Linked DNA regions of Oryctolagus cuniculus. The protein of the gene in region 2 interacts with the protein of the main gene of each other region in a pairwise test. Links are inferred from orthologs where the notes say so. Each region holds a gene or a part of one and is shown on either strand. Other genes may lie near its edges.

Region 1 (7,712 bases), on a different chromosome or scaffold from region 2:
GTGGGGCGGGCCAGCAAGAAGCTGGTGGCTCAGAGGAGGGGTCCTAGCCTGAGGGAGGGGTCAGGAACAGCTCAGACTGGGGCTCCCAGCCCTGAGGCTCAGCCCTGGCCTACATGCCCTGATGGGATACTGACCCAGCCTGAGGCCAACCCCTCCCCTCACGGGCCCTGCAGATTCTTCCCCTGACAGGAGGTCCAGGCTCTAGAACATTCCAATCATCATTTGGCCCCAGGAGAAGCTCCTGCGGCTCCCCCACCCACTGGCCCCTGCCTCAGAGCCCTTGGGCAGGGGCACCCAGCAGGGGAGTCAGAGCCTCAGGCCAGAAGGGCCCTTGGGGAAGGAGAGAGAAAGGTGGGAGAGGTCTCAGGAGGAAAACATAGCAGGAAACTAAGGGCCAATGCAAGGCCCTTCCCATGCTAGGAACCAGAAAGGAAGACGGGGGCTGTGCGGCTGCGGCGGCCACAGCAGGCGGTGGGCGGTGCTCACTGCGGCTGCAGCCTGCACGCATCCAGCCTCAGAGCCAGCCCAGTGCACAGCCCCAACACCAAACAGTGCAGAAAGAAGGCTGCTCTCCGTTAGAGGGCTTGGGGAGAGCAGGAGCCCCGGAGCCAGGTCCAGAAACCAAGTGGCCGGTCTGAGCGCTCCCCACAGCAGCAGGGAGGTCCCCACTGGCTAGGAGGAGGCTGCCTGCCCACACGGTGGTGGGGCCCACACTGCACGTGGCCGGGCTCTGGCCCCAGACCTGTGACAAGAGCACTGCACCCACTCGCTTGCCCAGGCCTCACCTCTTAACCAGGCTGGGAGAACTCCTGGGTTCCGTCAGGAATGTGGGAGCCATTGTCTGCATAGCTCCCCGGCTCTGCTGTCCGGCCAGGGCTCAGCATCTTCCGCACGGCGATGCCCCCTGGCTCACCCGACTCCTCCCATCCTCCCCTTGCATGGAGCACTGCACTTCCAGCTGGGCTCTCACTCACCCTTAAGTCCCGCCCCTTCCAAGTCACCTTGATGTGCCTCCATGTGCCCATCTATAAAATGGAGCAACTCCTGACCCATGTTGAAGCCATTTCTGAAAAAGCTTTGAAAGCTGCAAGTGTTACCCAAATGAGAAGTGATGTTTTTGGAACAAGCAGTGGAGGGCTGTGTGTCTGAGGGTTAGAGGAACTGGCCAAAGCCTGGGCCTAAAAATGTGGTTTGCAATCCGGGCCTTTACCCAGCAGGAGGCTTAGGAACGCAAGAGGCTGCCGTGGTCACCCAAACAGGCTCTGCAGGACAGAGCGTGTGTCCCCGCGAGCCTCTCCAAGGCCTGGGAAAACAACATGCACTCCGGCGCTGGGCGCTCTGTGCTCGCCCTTTTGAGTCCCTGGGGAGGTGCATGCCCCCCCCCCCCCCTTACTCAGAGAGCAGATGTCGCCTGCTCGAGTCACGGGGAACAGGTGGAGCATTGGAGCTGGGGACCCGGGCTCGCCCGGCTTCAGGGCCTGGACAGAGACTTTGCGGGCAGCGAGCTCCACCCTTGGACAGACCCAGTTCTCAGAAACGGCCAGTTCCACAGAGCCAAAACTCGGGAAGAAGGGGCTGTGGGGCGACCCCGAGACACTAGCAGCCGCGTTCAGAGTGAGAAGTGCTGAGCCCATGGCCGCTGGTCACGTCCACGGGTCAGCAACGACCCTGGAGAGGGGGCCCAGCCCTGGCAACGGGCGGGGGGGCCCCAGGCAGAGGTTAAGGCTGACAGCTGTGGCGGGGGGTGGGGGGATGACACACATCTACAGACCGCAGAGCAGAGCCCGGACCTGCACGGCCTGTCCCTGGGGGCCTCGGGGGCCCTTGCAGAAGAGCAAGGTGCGTCTTGGTCAGTGATGAAGGCTGAGGCCTTTCCCGCGTGCTGTGTCAGGGGTCCCTCGGGGCATGCTGGGAGCCGCTGGAGGATCCCCCTTGAGGGCGTCTGGGGCACAGCCTCTAGGCTACCTGGCTTCCAGAACTTCTTGGCTGTCATCCAGGCCTTCCCGCCATCTTCTGAGGCTATGTTACCCTCGGAGTCCTCCTGGTCCATGGGCTCGCCCACCCAGTGCAGCCCATAGTCGCTGAGGAACCGCTGTGGGGAAAGGAGGTGATGCTGGGGACACTGCCAGCTCAGTCCCTTCCCAGGGCACGAGTGGCCTTGGCTCCGTCCCCAGGCTCAGCCCCAGAGCTGACAGAACAAGGGGATGGGCTGAGACCGTGGCTGCTTCCTGGCTGTGACCTTGGAAAGCCTTTTACCTCCTGGAGCCTCAGGAGATCACAGCACCTAGTTCACATCCAGCGCTGAGCAGGAAAGCCGGCCGCTGTGGCTGTGGGCAGCCATGCGGGTCAGCCTGAGCGTGAGGGGCTGGGGACACCCTGGCTCTGAGGACGGGACCAGCCACACGCCGGCCTCCCCAGGGCCTGGCCTCCCTCCCCTCTGCCACAGAACTTCAATCGTCTACACCTCCTGTTGCCAATTCCTTTTCTCCCCTTCTTTCCTCAACCCACAATTCACTGAAGCTGCTCATGGTGCAGCCACCAACCACCTGCCCATTGCCAAACCCAGCGGGCGCACCTCTGTCCTCATCTCTTTCAACAGCGGCTGGGCTTCCTCCCGCCTGGCTGCTCCTTGGCCAGCCCCTGCTGCTTCCCCATTTCCACCCGACAGCGACAGCGACACTGCAGGTCCACAGCACTCCCTTATGACTTTTTTTTTTTTTTTTTTTTTTTTTTTTTAGGATTTATTATGTATTTGACAGGCAGAGAATCTTCCATCTGCTGGCTCACTCCCCAAGTGGCCACAACGGCCAGGACTGGGCTGGGCTAAAGCCAGGAGCCAGGAGCTCCATCTGGGTCACGCATGTGGGTGGCAGGGGCCCCAGTACTTAGGCCAGCTTCCTCTGCCTTCCCAGGAGCATTAGCAGGCAGCTGGCTCAGAAGTGGAGCAGCCAGGGCTTGAACCAGCGCTCCAGTACGGGATGCTGGCACTGCAAGCGGCAGCTTAACCTGCTGCACCACAAAGCAGATCCCAGCCTGAATTCCACACTCCCGTCTCCAACCACATAGACTCTAATGCCTGCCATGCAACTCGCAATCACTGAACAGTCACGGCTCCCGCCCCCATGCCCTGGACCTCCTGGTCCTGTCTCAGTGACGCCCCCTCCACCCAGGCATCATCCAGCACCCGCTCCCCTCTCTGCCACCACACCCGGATGCCCCTCAAGGCCTGTGGCTGCCATCTCCCAAGCAGCCTCAGAACGACCCCTCTTGCCCCATGCGCTGCCTCCCAGCTCAGACCACGGCCACTGTCACGCTCCTGGACAACCAGGAGACGGCTTCTACCTGTGTCCCCGTCGTCACGCAGTAGGAGGGTCCTCCCCTCATGTCGCTCTGACACCCCCAGTGGTCTCCCATTCCCTCCCAGTGGAATCCACGCGCACCACGGGCAGCGAGTCCTGCGTGATGGGGCCACTCCGGCCTCTGGTCTCCTGCTGCCCATGACCAGCAACCGCTATCAGCCAAGTGTACCCGGCAGAAGGGGAGGCTTTCGTGTCTCTGGCCTGGGTCCTCTGCCCCTGGTTGCCCCTCATCCCCCAGATCTCATGGCCAAGGTCACCTCCACAGTGGTTCGTCCCCATCCGTCTCCAGTGTGTCACACACGGGATTATCTTATAGCACTCCCTGTCTCTGTGTCTCTTTCATGTACTTGTTAATGTCTCGTCCCCTCCACGCTGTCAGCCCCTTGAGGGTGGGGACCATGTCTGTCTTGTTCAGATTTCCAACCAGGCACTAGAACAGGCACTGCAGGGTGCTGCCCCCAGCGGGTTCTGCTAAGCACCTGCTTCGTGAGAGCCAGTGATGCCCTCCCACCAGGGGCTCTGGGGTACAGCCTCTCAGCCCCTGCAGCAGAGGCTCGGAGCAGCCTGGGGGGTGGGGGCAGCTGTGTTTACCCACAGCCCCAGGGACCAACAGGCCTGGAGCGACAGGTGCTCCCAGCTGCAGCTGAGGCTCTGGGGTTGGCCTCTGTGGCCCTGGATTCCACTGGGGTTTTAGGAACCCACTCTGTGCTCGGAGAGGAAGGCTGGCTCCTGCCAGGGCAGGGTGGGAATGCCTGGGACGTGTGTGTACCTGGGACACGTCTTTGCTCCTGGCCCCTCCAGTTCAAGCTTTGGAGTCTGAATGGGTGTGTGCGTGGGAGGAAGAAGTCACAGGCAGAGATAGGGGATGGCCTTGATGAGTCTCCGGGGATTGGGATCGGGAGGGAGGTGGCCCGCCCCGGAGTTCACAGTCCACGGCAGAGAAGGGAGGTACTGAGAAAGCACAGGACAGGGCTGGGGCAGGAAGGAAAAACACTGCAGGCCAGGGAACAGCAATGGGCCAGGGTCCCGAGGCGGGACAGACTGGGCGTGTTCAAAGAATCAGCAGGGGCCAGGGAGGCCCTTGGCGTTGAGCCCAGCCGGGAGCCCCGAGGCCAAGGAGGCAAGCGGGGTGTGCTTAGGGCGGTTCAGACTCACAGGGTGAGCCCTGGACACTTGTGGCTCTGTGAACTCGGGGTTAATTCACGGGGCAGGGCCCCCAGGGGGAGGCTTGGTGTGGAGGGGCCCAGAGAAGTAGGTGCTGGCCCCGTCCCAAGGGGCAGACAGCCTGGAGCTGGGGCTGCGGGCTGCGGACTGCTGCGTCCCCGGGCCCGCCCTCACCTCCATCTCCCCGACCTGCCGCTGCAGCTGCGCGCACATCGTCTCCAGCTCCTCCTGCCGCTGCTGGGAGGCCTCGCCTTTGGTGGGGAGATGGGGATGGGGTCTGGCTGTTCCAGCTTCCAGGCCACCTCTGCCCTGAGGGCCATCTGGGGCCCTGAGGAACCACCTGCAGGGGACCCCCTCTATCTCTGCCCTCTCTCCCCGCTCCCCTGAGGGCACCCTGCCTCGCCCCTCAGTGCTGTGGCTCCACCACGCTCTGGGTAGTGCAGCTACCTTCAGGGCACTCTGACTCCAGCTGTCGGCGCCGAGCTCTGGCTCAGCTCTCCAGACCCACCAGGGAGTAGCTTGCTGCTCACCACCTACGCTCCCACCCAGGGGCACAGGGCCAAGGGAGGTCCCGACCGGGGGATCAGCCCCCAGGAGGGCCTCTTACCTTGGTGCTGCTGGAGGGTCTTCACCAAGTCCTCCAGGGCCAGTATCTTCTGATCCTGCAGCAGCGAGGCCTAGGGTGAGCGCAAGGCCCGGCGCTTCCCCAGCCGCCTTCCGGGTAGGAAGATGCAGAGGTTGTGCCTGTGGGGGGGCCCTGGGGAGCACAAAGGTCCTGCCTCTGCCAACACTTGGCACACCCGCTGCTCCTGTGCCGCAGGCCACCCCTGCAGCACTGCTGAGGTGGGGAAAGGCACAGCCCACACCGAGAGCGCCGACTCCACCCAGGCCAAGGTCACCTGGGCCCTGCTCAGCTACGGAGAAGCCCCCAGCCTCTCTGTTCAGTCACTGGGCCCCAGCTGAGCGGGGCCCACACCCGGCCATCACACTGGGCTGCTGAGTGGGGAGACGGTCACCAAACCCCTCTGCCCTGGTCCCACTGCTGGCCCCTGGCTTCCCGGCCTGGGCCTGCCACCTCTCAGCCCAGCCCCTGGCTCTCTCCCACCTGGGGCCTCACCTTGGACAGCATCTCATCAGCCTGGGCCTTCACCAGCCGTTCCAGGTCCCATAGCTGCTTGGCCACGGAGGCCAACGCCTCGGAGTCATGGGATACAGCGCCTGCCAAGTGGACCAAGTCTTTTGAGCCCAGGCTGGGCTCTGGGGGGTCCAGGATGCCCTAACAGCGGCCCACGCTCCCACAACACGTGCTGTTCTGAACTCTATCTGGACCAGCTCACAGATCCTCGCAACACACCTGTGAGGCCAATGAGCTGCTTCAGGAGACTGAGGCACTGAGGCCGTCATGTGACCACGGTGTACAAGCGAGCGGTGACACACGGGCCACCTCACCCCATAGTGTTGCCAGAAAGGCCATCCTCAACCTAATCCAACCCTAACATCCAAGCTCCCGTTTGCAGGCAACAGAACAGCGCGGGGGTCGAGGCAAACCTCAGACGAATGTGCAAGGCGGCACGCGCTGCTGCACGGGTGCCTGGGGGTTTTGAGAAAGTCAGTGTTGGGGCCGGCGCTGTGGTGCAGTGGGTTAAGCTCCTGCCTGCAGCGCCAGCACCCCATGTGGGTGCCAGTTGGAGTCCTGGCTGCTCCACTTTTTTTTCTTTTAAGATTTTATTTATTATTTGAGAGGCAGAGTTACAGAGAGAAAGGTCTCCATCCGCTGGCTCACTCCCCAAATGGCCGCAATGGCTAGAGCTGAGCCAATCCAAAGCGAGGAGCCAGGACCCAGGAGCTTCTTCCAGTCTCCCACGCAGGTGCAGGGGCCCAAGCACTTGGGCCATCCTCCACTGCTTTCCCAGGCCACAGCAGAGAGCTGGATCAGAAGGGGAGCAGCTGGACACAAACCGGCACTCATACTGGATGCCAGCGTTGCAAGTAGAGGCTTAGCCTACTATGCCACAGCGCTGGCCTCTGCTCCACTTCTGATCCAGCGCCTTGCTAATGCACCTGGGAAGGCAGTGGGAGATGGCCCAAGTGTTTGGGTCCCTGCCACCAATGTGGGAGACTCAGATGAAGCTCCTGGCTCCTAGCTTTGTCCTGGCCCTCAGGCCCAGCTGTTGCAGTCATTTTGGGGATGAACTAGTAGATGGAAGATCTGTCTCTCTCTAACTCTGCCTTTCAAACAAACAGAAAAAACTTTTAAAAAGTCAACGTCATTTATATATATAGATTTTTAAAATTAATTAATGTATTTATTTTATTCAAAAGGTGAAGTTACAGAGAAAGAGTGAGAGACAGAGACTAAGAGGTCCTCCATCCACTGGTTCACTCCCCAAACAGCCAAAAAGGCTGGAGCTGGGTGGATCCAAAGCCAGGAGCCAGGAGCTTCTTCCGGGCCTCCCACGTGGGTGTAGGGGCCCAAGCACTTGGGCCATCTTCCACTGCTTTCCCAGGCCTTAGCAGAGAGCTGGATCAGAAGTGGAGCAGCCAGAACTGGAACTGGCACCCGTATGGGATGCTGGCACCGTAGGTAGAGGCTTAACCGACTACACCGCAGTGCCAGCCCTTGTTGATGTCATTTTTTTTACAAAGGCAGAGACCTTTCTCCAGAGCTGTGACAGTCGAATGCATTGCATGACTCAATTAGATCCTAGATTGGGGGGGAGGCCGTAGGCGATGTCGGGTCACCGAGGAGGTCTGAGTACAGGAAGGAGTGACATCAGGGAGCCGTGCTGAATCGTTCACCATCTTAGGTGTGAAAGCAGCGCCGGGACTGTGCCTTTCCTTAGCCTTCGGAGAGGCACAGCAAGGCAGCTGGAGGAGAAGAGTCACGACTGCTGGCCCCTAGTTCCAAAGAGCTCATCCATTTGGAAAGGCGCCATCGACCGCTGAGTGCAGGCGGAGGAACAGGTGGGTGCTCACTGTCCTGTTATCTCAGATTTTCTGCATGCCAGACCTTTTCAAAACGAAAAGCTCAGGAAAAGAAACAGAGAGATGAGAAGACACCGGCCCTCTGGCATCCTGCCCTCTATGTGTGCACCGAGAGCTGTGCCGCCATGGCGCAGCCGTGCAGGGCTGACGGGCTGAGGCTGGCTCAGTGGGAAGATGGAGAAACCTCAGCTCTTGGTGACATGT
Region 2 (6,290 bases):
GGTGCCCAGCATTAGCCACCAAACACGGGGTGGAGGGCACCAGCCCATGCCCAGCCCCAGCTTGGTCATCCGGAGTCCGGTCCCCCAGTGTGGCACGGCCAGGGTGTGAAGGCTTCACAGCCTTGGCCATCACCTCAGAGCGGCCACTGGGTGCCTTCACGAGCTGTGCCGGCCCCACGGCCACCCCTTCCTGGGCTCCTGGCGGCCTCTCCGCCCCTGCCGAGGCCATGGCTGCGCGGGGTCAACGCGTCCTCGCCGGTTACCTACGGAGAGAAGGGAGACGAGCCATGAGGGGCTGCACTGGTGGGCCCTGAGCTGACCACAGAGACTGGCTGGGAAGCGAGCTGCGAAGGGAAATTGGTGGTCGCCCCACCTGCCCTCGGCTGGAACTACAAGCCCCAGAAGGCCTTGCGCCAGGGTCACTGCCCCTGACCTCAGGGACGGAAGCCATTCGTTGCCTGGCAACAGCAACTCCCTTCGCGGTGCTGCAGCTGGCGGCAAAACTGCTAGAGTGAGCCGGGCTCGGGGGTTACCGGGAAGAGGCCGCGAACCCCGAAGGGACGTGGGTTAGCGGCGGGGCGGGAGACGAAGGGGGCCGGGAATGGGGGGCACTGCCATGGTCTGGGTCTAGGTGGAGGGAGGAGGCGCAGGGCTGGGGAAGGGAGTCCCGGGCGGGAGGTGCACAGCCTGGCAGGCCTCGGTGCACCGTTGCAGGGCGTCGAGGACAGCATGTGCGAGGGCCCGTCCCGCATCTCGGGGCCCATCCCCCCAGACCCCACGCTCTGCCCAGACTACTACCGGCGGCCGGCCTCAGGTGAGTCGGGGGTGCTGCGGAGGGGGCAAGGCCCGGGATCGCCTGCCGCTCCACCGCTGAGCTCCGCACTCGGCCCTGTCCCGCCCCTCAGCCCAGGGCCGCCTCGAAGGAAACGCGCTGAAGCCGGACGCCACCCCACCCCGCGGGCCCCGCATCAGGCCCGGAGGCCGAGAGATCTTGGAGCGTGGCTGGCGAGGCGTAGGGGGCGTGCTGCTGCAGCTCGAGGGCATCTCCCTCAGTCCGCGGGTCTCGCCCAAGAGTAAGTCCGGCAGAAGGGGCAGTGAGGCAGTTGGAAATCAAAAGCGGCTGTCCCTTCCCTGACCTGGGCCCAGGCTTTGCCTCTCTTGAGCGTCAGTTTCCCGCGGGAGGGAACCTCATTAATTCATGCATCAAAACGTGTTTCCTGTGTGGCAGGCCTTGTGGGTGCCAGGAAAGCAGGGTCGTAGGCAAGGTGGGAGGCAGTAAGTGAAGACATGAGGCGATCCAGGGTATTTACTGAAAAAATACAGAAAATAACGAGGGGAGATTTACATGCAGGCAGGGGAGCGAGGGGAGGTCTGGTGTGTAGACAGCGTCTGGCAGACACAGAAACCGGGAGATCTTTCTGGAGAGGGCGGGCAGGGAGCTGGTCAGGGCAGAGCCTGGGAGCACCTTTCCCCCAGGGAAGGACCCTAAAGACCATGAGAAGGAGAACCTGAGGCGGATCAAGGAGATCCAGAGACGCTTCCGGGAGCAGGGCCACGGCCGGGAGCAGGGCCAGCCCCAGCCGCTGAAGGCTCTGTGGCGCTCACCCAAGTATGACAAGGTGGAGTCTCGAGTCAAGGCCCAGCTGCAGGTACCCGCCCCAAGGAGCCGAACCCTGGCCTGCACTGTGGGGAGGGAGGCACCTGATGCTGTCATGGCGTGGGGCTGGGGTCACTTCTCAGAAGTGGTCATGGCTATGCTGGTCATGAATGGCAAGTAGGGATTGGGCAAGGGGAGAGTAGTATAGAATATTCCAGAAAGAGGGCGGGCGTGTGGCCTAGTGGTGCAAACGCTGGTTCGGAAGCCTGTATTCCACATCAGGGTGGGTGCTGGGTTCCGTCCCCAGCTGCGGCTCTTTGACCCCAGGGAGGCAGTGGTGAAGGCTGCTCCACCTGAGGGACGTGGGTCGCACTCCTGGTGCCCAGCCTCAGTCATTACAGGCACCTGGGGAGTGAACCAGGCAATGGGAGCTCCGTCTCTCTGCCTCAGGAAAGGAAAAGAAAAAAAAAGCAAAGTGTAATTAAAAGAAAAAAAAATAAAGAACATGCCACAGAGATGGAACCTCACAGGCGGGAGTCCGGAGACCAGCGGGAGCAGGCAGTGAAGGTGCCAGGTTCTCTGCTAGCAGTGTGGCTCCCACTGGGAGAGGGGAAAAGCATGAGGTTAGGCCAGGAAGTCAGCCGGAGCTACGTCATAAAGGACCCCCAAGCCGCTTCCCTTTTTTTCTCCCTCCTCCCCTCCCTTGCTCTCTTTCTCCACTTCTTCCTTCCTCCTCCTTTCCGAGAACCAGAGCGCTCCCATGTGCTGGGTCACTCTCCGAATGCCCACAGTGGCCAGGCCAGGAGCCATCACCACTGCCTCCCAGTGTCTGCATTAGCAGGAAGCTGGGGTCAGCAGCCAGAGCTGGGGATGGAACCTAGGCACTCTGATGTGGAACATGGGGTCTTAACTGTCTAAGCCACTTTCTGGAAAAATTGGATTTATTTGACAGAGAATGCTAGATCCTCCATCCATTGGTTCACTCCACAAATGCCTGCAACAGCTGAGGCTGGGCCAGGCTGAAGCCAGGAAACCAGAACTGAATCCCATATGGGTGGCAGGGACTCAAGTACTTGACCATCACCTGCTACACACACACACATACACAAACATACACACACACAACCCCACACACACCCCAGGATGTATATTAGCAGGAACCTGGAATGAAAAGTGGAGCCCAGACTGGAACCCAGGCACTCTGATAGGGGATGCAGGCATCCTAAGCAATGCCCTTTTTTAATGATTATGGTATTTTCAAAAATGACTGCTTATTTTCATTTACTTGAAAGGCAGATTGAGATATAGAGACAGAAACAAAGGGAGCTTCCATCCTGTGGCTGGGACTGGGCCAGGCAGAAGCCAGGAACCTGGAACTCCATCTGGGTTTCCCTAGTAGAAGGCAGGGTCCCAAGCCCTTGAGCCATCATCTGCTGGCTCTCAGGGTGCAACAGCAGGGAGCTGGACTGGAAGTGAGCAACCAGGACTTCAGCTGGCAGTCTGATATGGGATGCCGACATCTCAAGCGGCAGCTTAACCCACTACACCACCATGGCCACCCCACAGGCAGGGTCTTCACTGCTGTGCCAAATGCCCACCCCGAAGACACTTTTCAAACGCTTACTTTGAGGACAGTGGAAGGGTAGGGCAGGGGTATCATGGTAGGATTTGGTCTTGCGTATATAGCGGCACCATTTTTCTACCCAAGATCTCAGAAGGATGAGCAAGTTTGAGAAAAAAAGACAAGGTCACCCGTGGATGGTCTGAGGCTGGAGCATTTGTGGGATTGCCAGGGGGTGGGATTGTGTCCAGGTAGCAGATGGACACTCAGGTCTGGATCTCAGAGTGAGACCCAAGCGTTATTGACCATCAGGCTGAGCACAAGGAAACCAAAGAAATGACCTTCTGGATTCCAGGGCCTGGAGGCCAGTCGTCCGTGACCTTGGAGGGACTACAGCCAGGAGGCACAGCTAGGAAGGAGAGCAGAGAGTGGTAGCTGGACCAGGACTGAGGTAGAAGAAAGGTGATGATGAGGAGCAGTGCCCCTTCAAGAGGGAACAGGCTTGCAGGGACGGGGAGAGAGAAGTCCCGAGTGGCAGGGACAGGGCATGCTCCTGTGGCTGGAGACCCTGACCTCAGTCTCGCTGCTCCCTCTGCTGCACCCCGCCCCCAGGAGCCTGGCCCTGCCTCTGGGACAGAGCCTGTCAACTTCCTACGGGCGCACTCCCGCTGCGGCCCTGGCCTCCCACCAACTCGTGTCCCCAGTCCCCAGCTAAGCCCACAAGGTCCCAAAACTAAGGTGAGATGATATGTAGGGGCCGGGAGGTGGTTGGACAGGGGAGGGGAGGTGGGTGCAGGGGCCCAGCAGTGCCGTCAGCCACCATCACCCTTGCTATGTCCTACAGGGGCCAGGCCTGGGTGTGGACTTCATTAGTCACAATGCACAAGCCGCCAAGAAGGCCCCCCGGCGCTATTCCCGCTCGCTGCAGGTCCTGGCACAGGTGCTGGAGCAGCAGCAGCAAGCCCAGGAGCGCTACAATGCCACACAGAAAGGCCACGTGCCCCAATAGTAGGTCCCACTAGCCGAGCCTCAGGGTAAAGGGTGCCTGTGGCGGGTGGAAGCCAGCTCCTGCCCTGGGGTCTTCAACCCTGAGCCTGTTCGTCCACAGCTTGTTGGAGCGCAGGGATCTGTGGCGGCGGGAGGCTGAGGCCCGCAGGCTTGGCCAGCCAGATCCCAGCATGCCCCCTGGGCACACACTCATGCCTGAGAGCCAGCGGCTGGAGACGTTGGACAGTCTGCTCCAGAGTAAGTACCAGGCGAGGAGGGGCTGGGCAGGGAACCCACAAGGGACCACGCGCCCCTGTCCAGCACTCACGCCTCTGCCCCCTGTAGGCCAGAGCCAGCTGCTGCGGGAGCTAATACTGCTGCCCGCTGGGGCAGACTCACTGAAGGCCCAGGGCCACCGTGCAGAGCTGGACCGGAAGCTCGTGCAGGTAGAGGAAGCCATCAAGATCTTTTCCCAGCCCAAAGTCTTCGTGAAGATGGATGCCTGAGCCTGTGTGGGGGTCGTGGCGAGGAGGTTCCTGCTACAGATCGCAACATGGCTGCGCAGTGCAGGGTTGGGCCCCGTTACAGGGCGGTGGGGTCGGCAGTATCTCCGGAGCACTCTTCCCAGCCACCAGTGACTACGGAAGGGCTATCCCAGCCTTGGGCCCCTTTGACAAAATTAAACTTTTTGTACGTGGTAGAGTTTCCATAAGAGCTTTTCTTACCCTGGAAATGCCAAGCCCGGCGACTCTCTGCCTGAGGACAGGACAGGTCTCCCTGCGGCCCTCATCCTGCCTCATGTTTGGAGCAGAAGCAAGTTGTGAGGTTGAGGAGGAGGCTGGGGTGGGACACAGAAGGACCATGACTGCATTCGTAGAAAACATTTAATGTTCCCCAGGCCGAGAGGGCCCTGTGAACAAGCTAGCCGCCCCCACCTTGAAGTCCCTGCCATGTCCCAGCAGCCTTGAGTGCCAAGGGGCTGATCCTTGCCTGTCAGAGGCTGAAGCCACTGCCATCTCCTCGTGTGCCGCTCCCCCAGCCAGAGCCGGCCTGCTCCCGGTCATCCAGGGAGAGCAGAGAGTTGTGGGCACCAGGAAGGAGGCAGCTGGGGTCCAAGTCCCAGCATGGGGGCCCCTGAGACAGCCCATTGGAACAGGGAGGCTGGCGGTTCTCAGTGACCAGGTCGCCGCTGTCATCGTCACTGTCTGGCTCAGCAGGCCCAGGCCGCACAGGGGAAGGCCCTGTCAGACGCCCAGAGGCCCCTCGCACCACGTTGTTGCGCTGGTTGGCAGGCTTGACAGTGACAATGAGGTTGTGGCTGTTGGCAACCATCATGTCCGTCACTTGGTCCAAGGTCTTCCCAGCCACCTCAATGCCATTGACCTCGAGGATCTCATCGCTGACCGCCAGCAGCCCTGTACTCTCAGCCAGGCCCCCACGTACCAGGCGTGAGATGAAGATGCCCGGAACCCGCTCCAGGCCCTGGGGTGCCACACGCATGCTCATGCCATCTCTGATGTAGAAGCCCAGGGGCCGGTTGGAGCCGTGCTTGTGCAGCCGCACCCGCCGGTGCGTCTCAGGCAGTAGGTCCACATCTATGACTGAGGAGACCTGGCGGAAGTCTCGGGGCAGGCTGATTAGCAGGGGAGGCCGGGTGCGCAGGGGTGCCGCGGGCCGCAGCAGGAGCCCTTTCTTGCGCCGCTGCAGAGAGTTGGAGGCAAAAGCTAGGCCAGTGGAGTCAGCTTCTGCTACAGGAGAGAGGGGGGTGCCGAGATCAGAGACCCTGCCCTCCCACATGGGCGCCTCACAGAGGGAACAGTAGCTATTTCCTACCACTTGGAGGTCAGGCCAAGGGCAGGGACTGCAGAGGGTGAAGCCTGGGCACCCTGACTCGGGACTAACCCTTACAGACCTGCTGTCAGCGTAACCCAGAGGCTGCCCACGGTACCCCATCTTCCTCACCCCGCTTCTGCACCAGCAGGCGCAGTGGCGGGGGCCCACTGGCCAGGGCCCGGTGCAGGCTGTCGTCGTTGGTGAGGGGGAGCAGGTCACCGTGAGCATCCGTGTAGCCAAGCAGCACGTCCAGCCCCGGGATCTGGTGCACTGCACGCAGCAACCGCGAGAACTCCTGGAAGCCGCTCACGG
Region 3 (7,712 bases), on a different chromosome or scaffold from region 2:
ATTCAGCTAGTCATAATGATAGAACTACAATGACATTGATTAAACACTGAAGTGGATTACTAAAGAGAGTTTCCATTTCAAAGCATAAGAGAGAGAAAGAGAAGAATCAATAGAATGGCTTTAGTTTTAAGTTTTCATCTACCTAGAGATAAGATTTTTAATCAGAAGTGAATATCCATCTTTCTGCTTAACATTGATCTCTTAAATTGACTTCTGAGCAAAAGAGTCTTATAACCACTTTTTGTGGAATTTTATTGACTTGGGTGTTTATGTTTTTATATGTGATTCTTAAGTGACAGGGTAATATAAATAGGCTCAGCTAAAGTCTTTCATAGCTTTATTCCATTATCACTTCATAAAGATCTTTCACTGCACTGGAGAGTTTTGGGAAAATTAAAGACAATTTAGCTATCATCTTTTGTTTGGAGAAGATACTAATTCAGAAATTGTATTTAAATTGAGCCTTGAATAAGGTTAAGAAAATTTGGCAAAATACAAGATAAAAGAGCAGTATCTTAAAATTTGTTTTGAAAGGGGCTGGTAGGGTGGTGCAGTAGGTTAGGTCATAGCTTGTGACACCGGCATCCTATATTCAAGTACTAGCCAGTTGGAGTCCTGGCCATTCCATTTCTGATCCAGTTTCTTGCTAATATGCCTTAGAAGGCTGCAAAAGGATGGCCCAAGTACTTGGGCCCCTAGCACCCATGTGGGAAACTTCAAGCTAGCCTAGAGTGGCTGTTGCTGCCACTTTTGGAGTAAACCAGTAGGTGAGAAATCTCCCTCTCCCTCTTCTCCTTGTCCCACTCCTGCTCCTGCTCTCAGTCTTTTTCCTCCTTCTCTGTTTCCTACTTTTCAAATAAATAAATAATAAAAAAATTGTCTTGAAAAATCAAAGTGCATCATGCCTATGACTTGTTCTCAAATGTTTCAGAAAAAATTTACGTGATAATGGATAATGAATAAAAAATGTGGTAAGCTGTTAATACTTGGAGAATCTATATTAAGAGTATAAAGGGGGGCTGGTGCCTTGGCTCACTTGGTTAATCCTCTGCCGGCAGCGCCGGCATCCCATGTGGGTTCTGGTCCTGGTTGCTCCTCTTCCAGTCCAGCTCTCTGCTGTGGCCCAGGAGGGCAGTGGAGGATGGCCCAAGTACTTGGACTCCTGCACCCACATGGGAGACCAGGAAGAAGCACCTGGCTCCTGGCTTCGGATCAGCGTATCTCCGGCTGTGGCAGCCATTTTGAGGGTGAACCAATGGAAGGAAGACCTTTCTCTCTGTCTCTCTCTCTCACTGTCTAACTCTATCTGTCAAAAGAAAAAAAAAAGAGTGTATAGGAATTCTTTGTACTGTTTTTTTTTTCAACTTTTCAATAAAACAACTTATTTCAAAATAAAAAAGTAAAAAGAAATGACATCTACCATCAGTTTTTGTTCACTTTTTCGTGGTCTCTGGCTTCCTTAACATGTTTCTGTAGTCATTGAATTCTTTGACATTTGGCACTCATTTCTCCTCTCCATTTCTTGTATTTCTGGATGACTTCAGTGTTTTCAGCAGTGGCACTTCCAGCACCTGATTGCTCCTCTCCAAGTACCTTCACATCAATCTGTTTCATCAACCCATTTCCAGGCAAACTACATCTTACACTTTGTCCTTACCTGATACTTATTGCAGAAAATGGCATTCATTTACAGGAGTGTCTTTCATTTCAATACAAGAGTTATACACTAGGGTTATAGAGATCATGTACATGTAAAATGCCACACATAGTAATGTTCAAATGGAATACTACAGTTTCATACTGACTTCACACACATTCTTTATTTTTCCTAAAGCTGTTCATTCACTGTAACCATTCCTGTTGTTCTTATTCTCTTCTTATTCTCAGAGTCTGTCAGCATTTTTTTTTAAAGAATTATTTTGTTTATTTGAAAGAATTACAGAGAGAGGTAGATCCAGAGAGAGAGAGGTCTTCCATTCCTCTGGTTCACTCCCCAAATGACTGCAACGGCCAGAACTGAGCCCCGAAGCCAAGAGCCAGAGCTTCCTCTAGGTCTCCCATGCAGCTGTAGGGGCCCAAGGACTTAAGCCATCTTCTGCTACTTTCCCAGGCCATAGCAGAGAGCTGGATCCGAAGAGGAGCAGCCAGGACAGAAACCAGCACCCATATGGGATGCTAGCGCTGCAGGCTGGGGCTTTAACCCACTGCGACTCAGCGCTGGCCCCATCACCATTTTGTTTACTTCACTTAACTCTAACCCTTTGGAAGTTTTATTACTTTGCATATTCCCTTTCTCTGTGGAAGCAAAAAATGTGAACATCTGACTATGTGTGGCATTTTACATGTACGTGATCTCTATAACCCTAGTATAGTCCTTACTGCATTATATTCAAGTCATTGAATCAGTTTGCAGTAATCACTGTACTGTTGAGTCCTTAAGGGGAATATCTGTTGCTTGCTTATCTTTGTTTCCCTAGTACCTATCACAGGATAAATCACACTGTAGGTTTTCCATGAGTTATCATTAAAATATTGAATAAATTTGATAGAAGAGTTAAACTTTTGATACGAAATAATTAAATATTGGTAGAGGATAATGTAGTATTACTGAGAAGGACTGCATTGAGAACCTTCAGAAGATTTTATTTTGTTTTATTTTATTTTTATTTTTATTTTTATTTGAAAGGTAGAGTTATAGACAAAGAGAAAGGTCTTCATTCTGTTGGTTTACTCCCCAAATGGCTGCCATGGCCGGCGCTGTGCCAATCATAAGCCAAGAGCCAGGTTCCTCTTCCTGGTCTCCCACGTGGATGCAGAGACCCAAGCACTTAGGCCATCCTCCACTGCCCTCCTGGGCCACAGCAGAGAGCTGGACAGGAAGAGGAGCAACCTGGATTAGAACCCGGCGCCCATATGGGATGCTGGTGCCACTGGTGGAGGATTAACCAAGTGAGCCACAGTACTGGCCCAAGAAGATTTTAACTCTAATTTGCTAAAATTATACTTGTCAAAATAGTTTTTTTAAAAAAAGTCAGGAAAATTTTATGAATCAGCCTTTTTTAATATAAGGTGAAATTATATTCTCAGTAGAGAATATGCAGAATGTGATTTATAAAAGTCTTTAAATGTCTGATGAACAGTTCAGAATAAAGCCCTAAAAGATTTTTCTACTGATGGCTGGTGTTGTGGCACAATGGGTGAATGTGTTGCTTGGATGCCTGTATCTAGTATCAGAGTGCTTCATGTGAGGCCATGCTACTCTAGCTTTTCATTCGGCACTCTGCTCATGCATTTGGAAGGCAGTGCATGATGGTGCATGTATTTGGGTCCCTGCTACCCCTGTCAGAGACTTGGATGGAGATCTTGGCTCCTGGTTTCAGCAATGCCTAGTTTTGGCTATTACAGGTATTTGGGGAATGAGTTAGCAAAAGGAGGATCTTCTGTTTCTCTGTCTCTCTCTCTTGTTTCACTCTTGTCACTCTGCCTTATAAATAACAAATAATTATTTTAAAAAAAGCTTTTACTGATGAATAAAATTAGAGATACCCAAAGACAGAGCCTAATCACACAGTACAGGTTCTTTAAAAATACTTTAAAATTAAGAGTTTAAAATTTTAGAATTTGCTTTTTGAAAAGTTCAAGGGCCGTCCCTGTGGTCCAGTGGACTAAAGCCCCAGCCTGAAGTGCTGGCATTCCATGTGAGCCCCAGCTGTTCCGCTTCCTATCCAGCTCACTGCTATGGCCTGGAAAAGCAGTGGAGGATGGCCCAACTCCCTGGGCCCCTGCACCCACATAGGAGACCCAGAGGAGGCTTCTGGCTCCTGGCTTCGGATTATCTCAGCTCTGGCCATTGCGGTCGTTTGGGGAGTGAACTAGCAGAATGGAGGACCTCTCTCTCTCTCTCTCTCTGTCTCTCTCTGGCTCTACCTCTCTCTAACTCTTTCAAATAAAAAAATTAAAATAAAATAATTCTTTAAAAAAAACTTCAAGATTATTTCTGCTAGAAATAATGAAATGATAATTGCAATCACCATTTGTGCTGTTGATCTAATGTACTAGTAAAAAAGTTATGTGTGCATGTATGATTTTTCTCCCAGAAACCATACTATGCTTTGAAATGTGCACTACTCCTTTGAAACAGATTATATTTACTAGTGGTAACTTAAAAATAAGTTGTGTGATATATCCAGATATTATTCTCTAATTTGAGAGTACTTCACCAATGATGTGTAAATAAAAGTATGAGGAGCTTTTTTCCTTGGCACAATTTTTTTTATATCCATGCATGATTTTTTCAGAATTTGTATTTTCTGTGTATTGTGGAAAAACTTTTGCATGAAAATGAGCTCATACTTTTAATTCCATTTTTCATGAATTTTTTGCAGTATACTCGTGCATGGTACATACCTGATAAAATGAGGGTTAGAAATAATTATTATATTCTATACATTTTCATGTTGTGATGCTTAGAAAAATAGCAGCTAATGTTTATTAATGTGTCAGGTCCTAGACCAAGTACTTCGCATGTATTAGTTGAGTCCTCACAACAACTCAGTGAAATAGATGACGTTATAGTTCCCTTTTATGAACAAGAAACTGAAGCATGGAAAGGTTAAGTAACCAGCCCAAAGCTATGCATTTGGTAGAGCTGAAGTTCTAACCCACGCAGTCATAACCACCATTCCATGTACATTATCATTTTCCTATGACCCTTAACTTACTGTATCTAGAAAACAGTACATCTCTCAACCAGTGGTTTTCAATCTTAAATGTATACTGAAATCATCTATAGTGAGCTTAAAATATAAAGATTGGGTCCTAATCCCAGAGATTCTGATTTTATTAAAATAGGGTGTGGTATGGGTTTAAGATATTTTTGACTCCTTACATTATTCCAATGTGCAACATTGTCAGTTACAATCATAAGTGTCTATTGACTTTGGAAATAGGAATATTGATGGCAACAACCACTCTGTACATGCTTATCCAATTATAGTAGGAGTAAGATTGGTAAGTGTATATTTAAAGTTTTAGGACTATTCAGAAAAAACTATTCATTACTATTCATTTGTATTTAATAAGCAGCTATGGTGTCTCATATATCATGTTATGTTTGTTTAAATACAGATATAGCCCACATTTATCCTGAGCAAGAAACTGCAGGGAGAAATAAAAGTGCACAGTCAGATGAGCAACTGACTATGAATTCCAAGGGAAGCATGCATCAGAAATCCAATGAATTCATAAATGAAGTCCCATACGAGGACACGAAACTGCTAGGGCAGAGTTCAAGGAATTTTCAGATCATCAGTCCTTATCCAGATGATGCGACAGCTTACTGCACTACTGAAAAATGCAAGTGAGTGCTAGCAGCCTGAGATTTAGAAACAGAATTGGGAGAACTTTCTCTTCCTCCCTACCTCCTTCCCTTCCTTTCTTTCTCTGTTTCTTTCTGGTGTGGATTAAATTTGACATGTCATTAACTGACTAGAAGTTGGGATCTTTCCTAGCACTATTTCCATAATAATGATATACTGTGCCTAGTTAGCTAAGTGAAAAAGCACAAGGTGAGTATGAAGGAAAGTGATGAGATTTTATACTTTGTTCAGTATTTCTTTGATATTACATTATAGATGTAGAAATGACTGTTCAGTTAATATAAAAGTATTGTTGCTCAGGAGAGAAAAGCTAGCAGCTCCAGGATAAATTAAACCCCAAAATGTGTTTTGGTTTGGGTTACTACTGTTTTTCATTTAAGTGAATTTTAATACTTTTAGAAGAGTCTTGTTCTCTACCATATGCATTTCCTTATTACTTTACATTCTGTATTTTTTCCATTCACCTTGCCTACCTATCTCATGAAGGGATTTGGACTTTGTGATTAATGTACTTTGATAGCCATGGGCTATGAAAATATTATGTTTTTAAATTTCAGTGATTAATTTTCATTCTAGACAAAATATTTTCTGGAATAATTTCTGACAGTTTTGCATATAAACTGCTATTTCTATGTGCTTATAGATTATTTAGTAGATGTATTAATGAATACTAATATAATGCTATAATATTTTGGTTTGTTCCTCTCCCTCAGCAATCAGTTAGATTCTTGCTGCTCCTCTGCACGCGGAGGAGCCGCACCGGACCGGACGCTTGTTGTTCCCTTTTTTTTACAAGTCCTTTCTATAGTAAAGTAAGAATAAGTAAACAGCAAACTCCCAAAGCAAGAATGAGTAGAGAGAAATGAGAAAGAACGAAGTAACGAACTTCCCCGCGAACTCTCCAACGCACTCTCCAACCAACCCACACCACCATGCCGTCTCTCTCCTCCTATATAGTCCTCTCCACCAATCCGTGCTCTGCTACCCACACGCCGAGCGCGCCACTCTCCTCCAATCAGGAGCGGCTCTTGCAGCTTGTCAAGTTGGTGAGAGGCAGCTGGGTAGAAGCTGTATGCTCCTCTCCCACCGCCACATTGTGGGAGAGCAGATGCATAGAATAAGTCTTAATTCCAGTAACAGTATAGTCCGAGTTGCTCCCCACAGATTTTTACAGAGGTTCAGATTGGAGTACATTTGTGGTGGGGGAGAGGGCAGATAAAGGTAGAGATAAGTGAAAAAGAGATAAACATCTTTATAACCACATGGGGAAAATAAATAGTAGAACTTGGGCTAAACCTGAATTATGAGACTTATAATATGTTGACAACATGGAATATATAAGGTGAGTAGAGTTGTACTAATTGTCAGAGACCTCAATGCTTTCAAAAAATAGCCTATGTCTTTTCCCTTCCTTTCCTTATTAACACTTCCTTACAAGGTGATATTATTCTCAATAGATAAAACGTAAAAAAATTTTGTTTTAACTTACCCTTAAATATTACATGAATAGCTTTTCATTTTTAATGTTTTTGATTTAAAAATGAAAATATATTCTTTCAAAAAATTCTTTAAAATTATCTGATTATTACTCCCATTTTTAGAAAAGTGAGTAATGTATCTAGAACCCCAAACAACAGTATAAAACCTGAATTGTTTCTATAAGATTTACCTATTTATTATGAAAGAGTTATAGAAAGAGGAAGAGACAGAGAAATACTTTCTATCTCCTGGTTCCCTCCCCAAGTGGCTGCAACACCAGGCCTGGGCCAGGCTAAGTCAGGAGCATCTTCTGAATTTCCACCCGTGGGTGGACAAGCCCAGGTACTTGGACCATCTTCTGCTACATTCTCAGGCAATTAGTAGGGAGCTGGTTCAGAAGTGGGAAAGCCAGGTCTCCAACTGGTACCCATATGGAATGCTGGTGTCACAGGTGGTGGCTTTCCCTGCTGAGTCACAACGGTGGCTTCTAATGCCTGAATACTTTAAGTATACTTAACCATGAATCTGTCAGACATCACTAAATACTTTCTTTAAATTTAACTCTCTCAGTTGATAAATTGGCATTTTTCTGTGAAATTGATATATTTATTCTCTTTAATCAATCATATTTTCTCCATAGTACATATAAAGAGAAATTTAAGATCTGATATCTTTTCATATTTGTTGTTAAAATTAAATGTTGCTATTTGAAATATAAAATTTATAGATATTGTACAGTAGAAATCCTATGTATATATTGTTCATTTTTTTATTACAGCATTACAGAACACAAAAATGATGACTTGCATTATGGATATATGATTCCTTGTCAAGTTACTTCAGATGTAAATAAAG

Evidence for each region. The genes of interacting proteins can lie anywhere in the genome.
Region 1: the proteins of ENKD1 (region 2) and UBXN11 interact in binary tests that used the Homo sapiens proteins (3 or more experiments, as listed by UniProt). The two-hybrid records come from large-scale screens. The link is inferred for Oryctolagus cuniculus from reciprocal best matches to the Homo sapiens genes ENKD1 and UBXN11.
Region 3: the proteins of ENKD1 (region 2) and MIPOL1 interact in binary tests that used the Homo sapiens proteins (3 or more experiments, as listed by UniProt). The two-hybrid records come from large-scale screens. The link is inferred for Oryctolagus cuniculus from reciprocal best matches to the Homo sapiens genes ENKD1 and MIPOL1.

What each region holds. Positions count from the first base shown.
Region 1 is NC_091438.1:145,179,702-145,187,413, reverse strand, and holds part of UBXN11 (UBX domain-containing protein 11), read right to left. Parts: intron 7,275-7,712; exon of another isoform or gene 7,209-7,274; coding exon of another isoform or gene 7,178-7,208; intron 5,742-7,177; coding exon 5,641-5,741; intron 5,238-5,640; coding exon of another isoform or gene 5,186-5,237; coding exon 5,131-5,185; intron 4,775-5,130; coding exon 4,698-4,774; intron 2,093-4,697; coding exon 1,966-2,092; intron 1-1,965. UniProt on the Homo sapiens protein: May be involved in the reorganization of actin cytoskeleton mediated by RND1, RND2 and RND3. Promotes RHOA activation mediated by GNA12 and GNA13.
Region 2 is NC_091449.1:50,904,452-50,910,741, reverse strand, and holds ENKD1 (enkurin domain-containing protein 1), read left to right. Parts: upstream 1-465; 5' UTR 466-566; intron 567-714; 5' UTR 715-729; coding exon 730-814; intron 815-905; coding exon 906-1,073; intron 1,074-1,476; coding exon 1,477-1,649; intron 1,650-3,770; coding exon 3,771-3,896; intron 3,897-4,002; coding exon 4,003-4,166; intron 4,167-4,266; coding exon 4,267-4,403; intron 4,404-4,490; coding exon 4,491-4,651; 3' UTR 4,652-4,843; downstream 4,844-6,290. Other genes in the region: C18H16orf86 (uncharacterized protein C16orf86 homolog), read right to left, coding at 134-229; PARD6A (partitioning defective 6 homolog alpha), read right to left, coding at 5,139-5,893, 6,108-6,290. UniProt on the Homo sapiens protein: Microtubule-binding protein which regulates microtubule organization and stability. Promotes the stability of astral microtubules and facilitates the proper orientation of the mitotic spindle.
Region 3 is NC_091443.1:38,298,407-38,306,118, reverse strand, and holds part of MIPOL1 (mirror-image polydactyly gene 1 protein), read left to right. Parts: intron 1-5,127; coding exon 5,128-5,359; intron 5,360-5,416; exon of another isoform or gene 5,417-6,706; coding exon of another isoform or gene 6,707-6,720; intron 6,721-7,635; coding exon 7,636-7,712.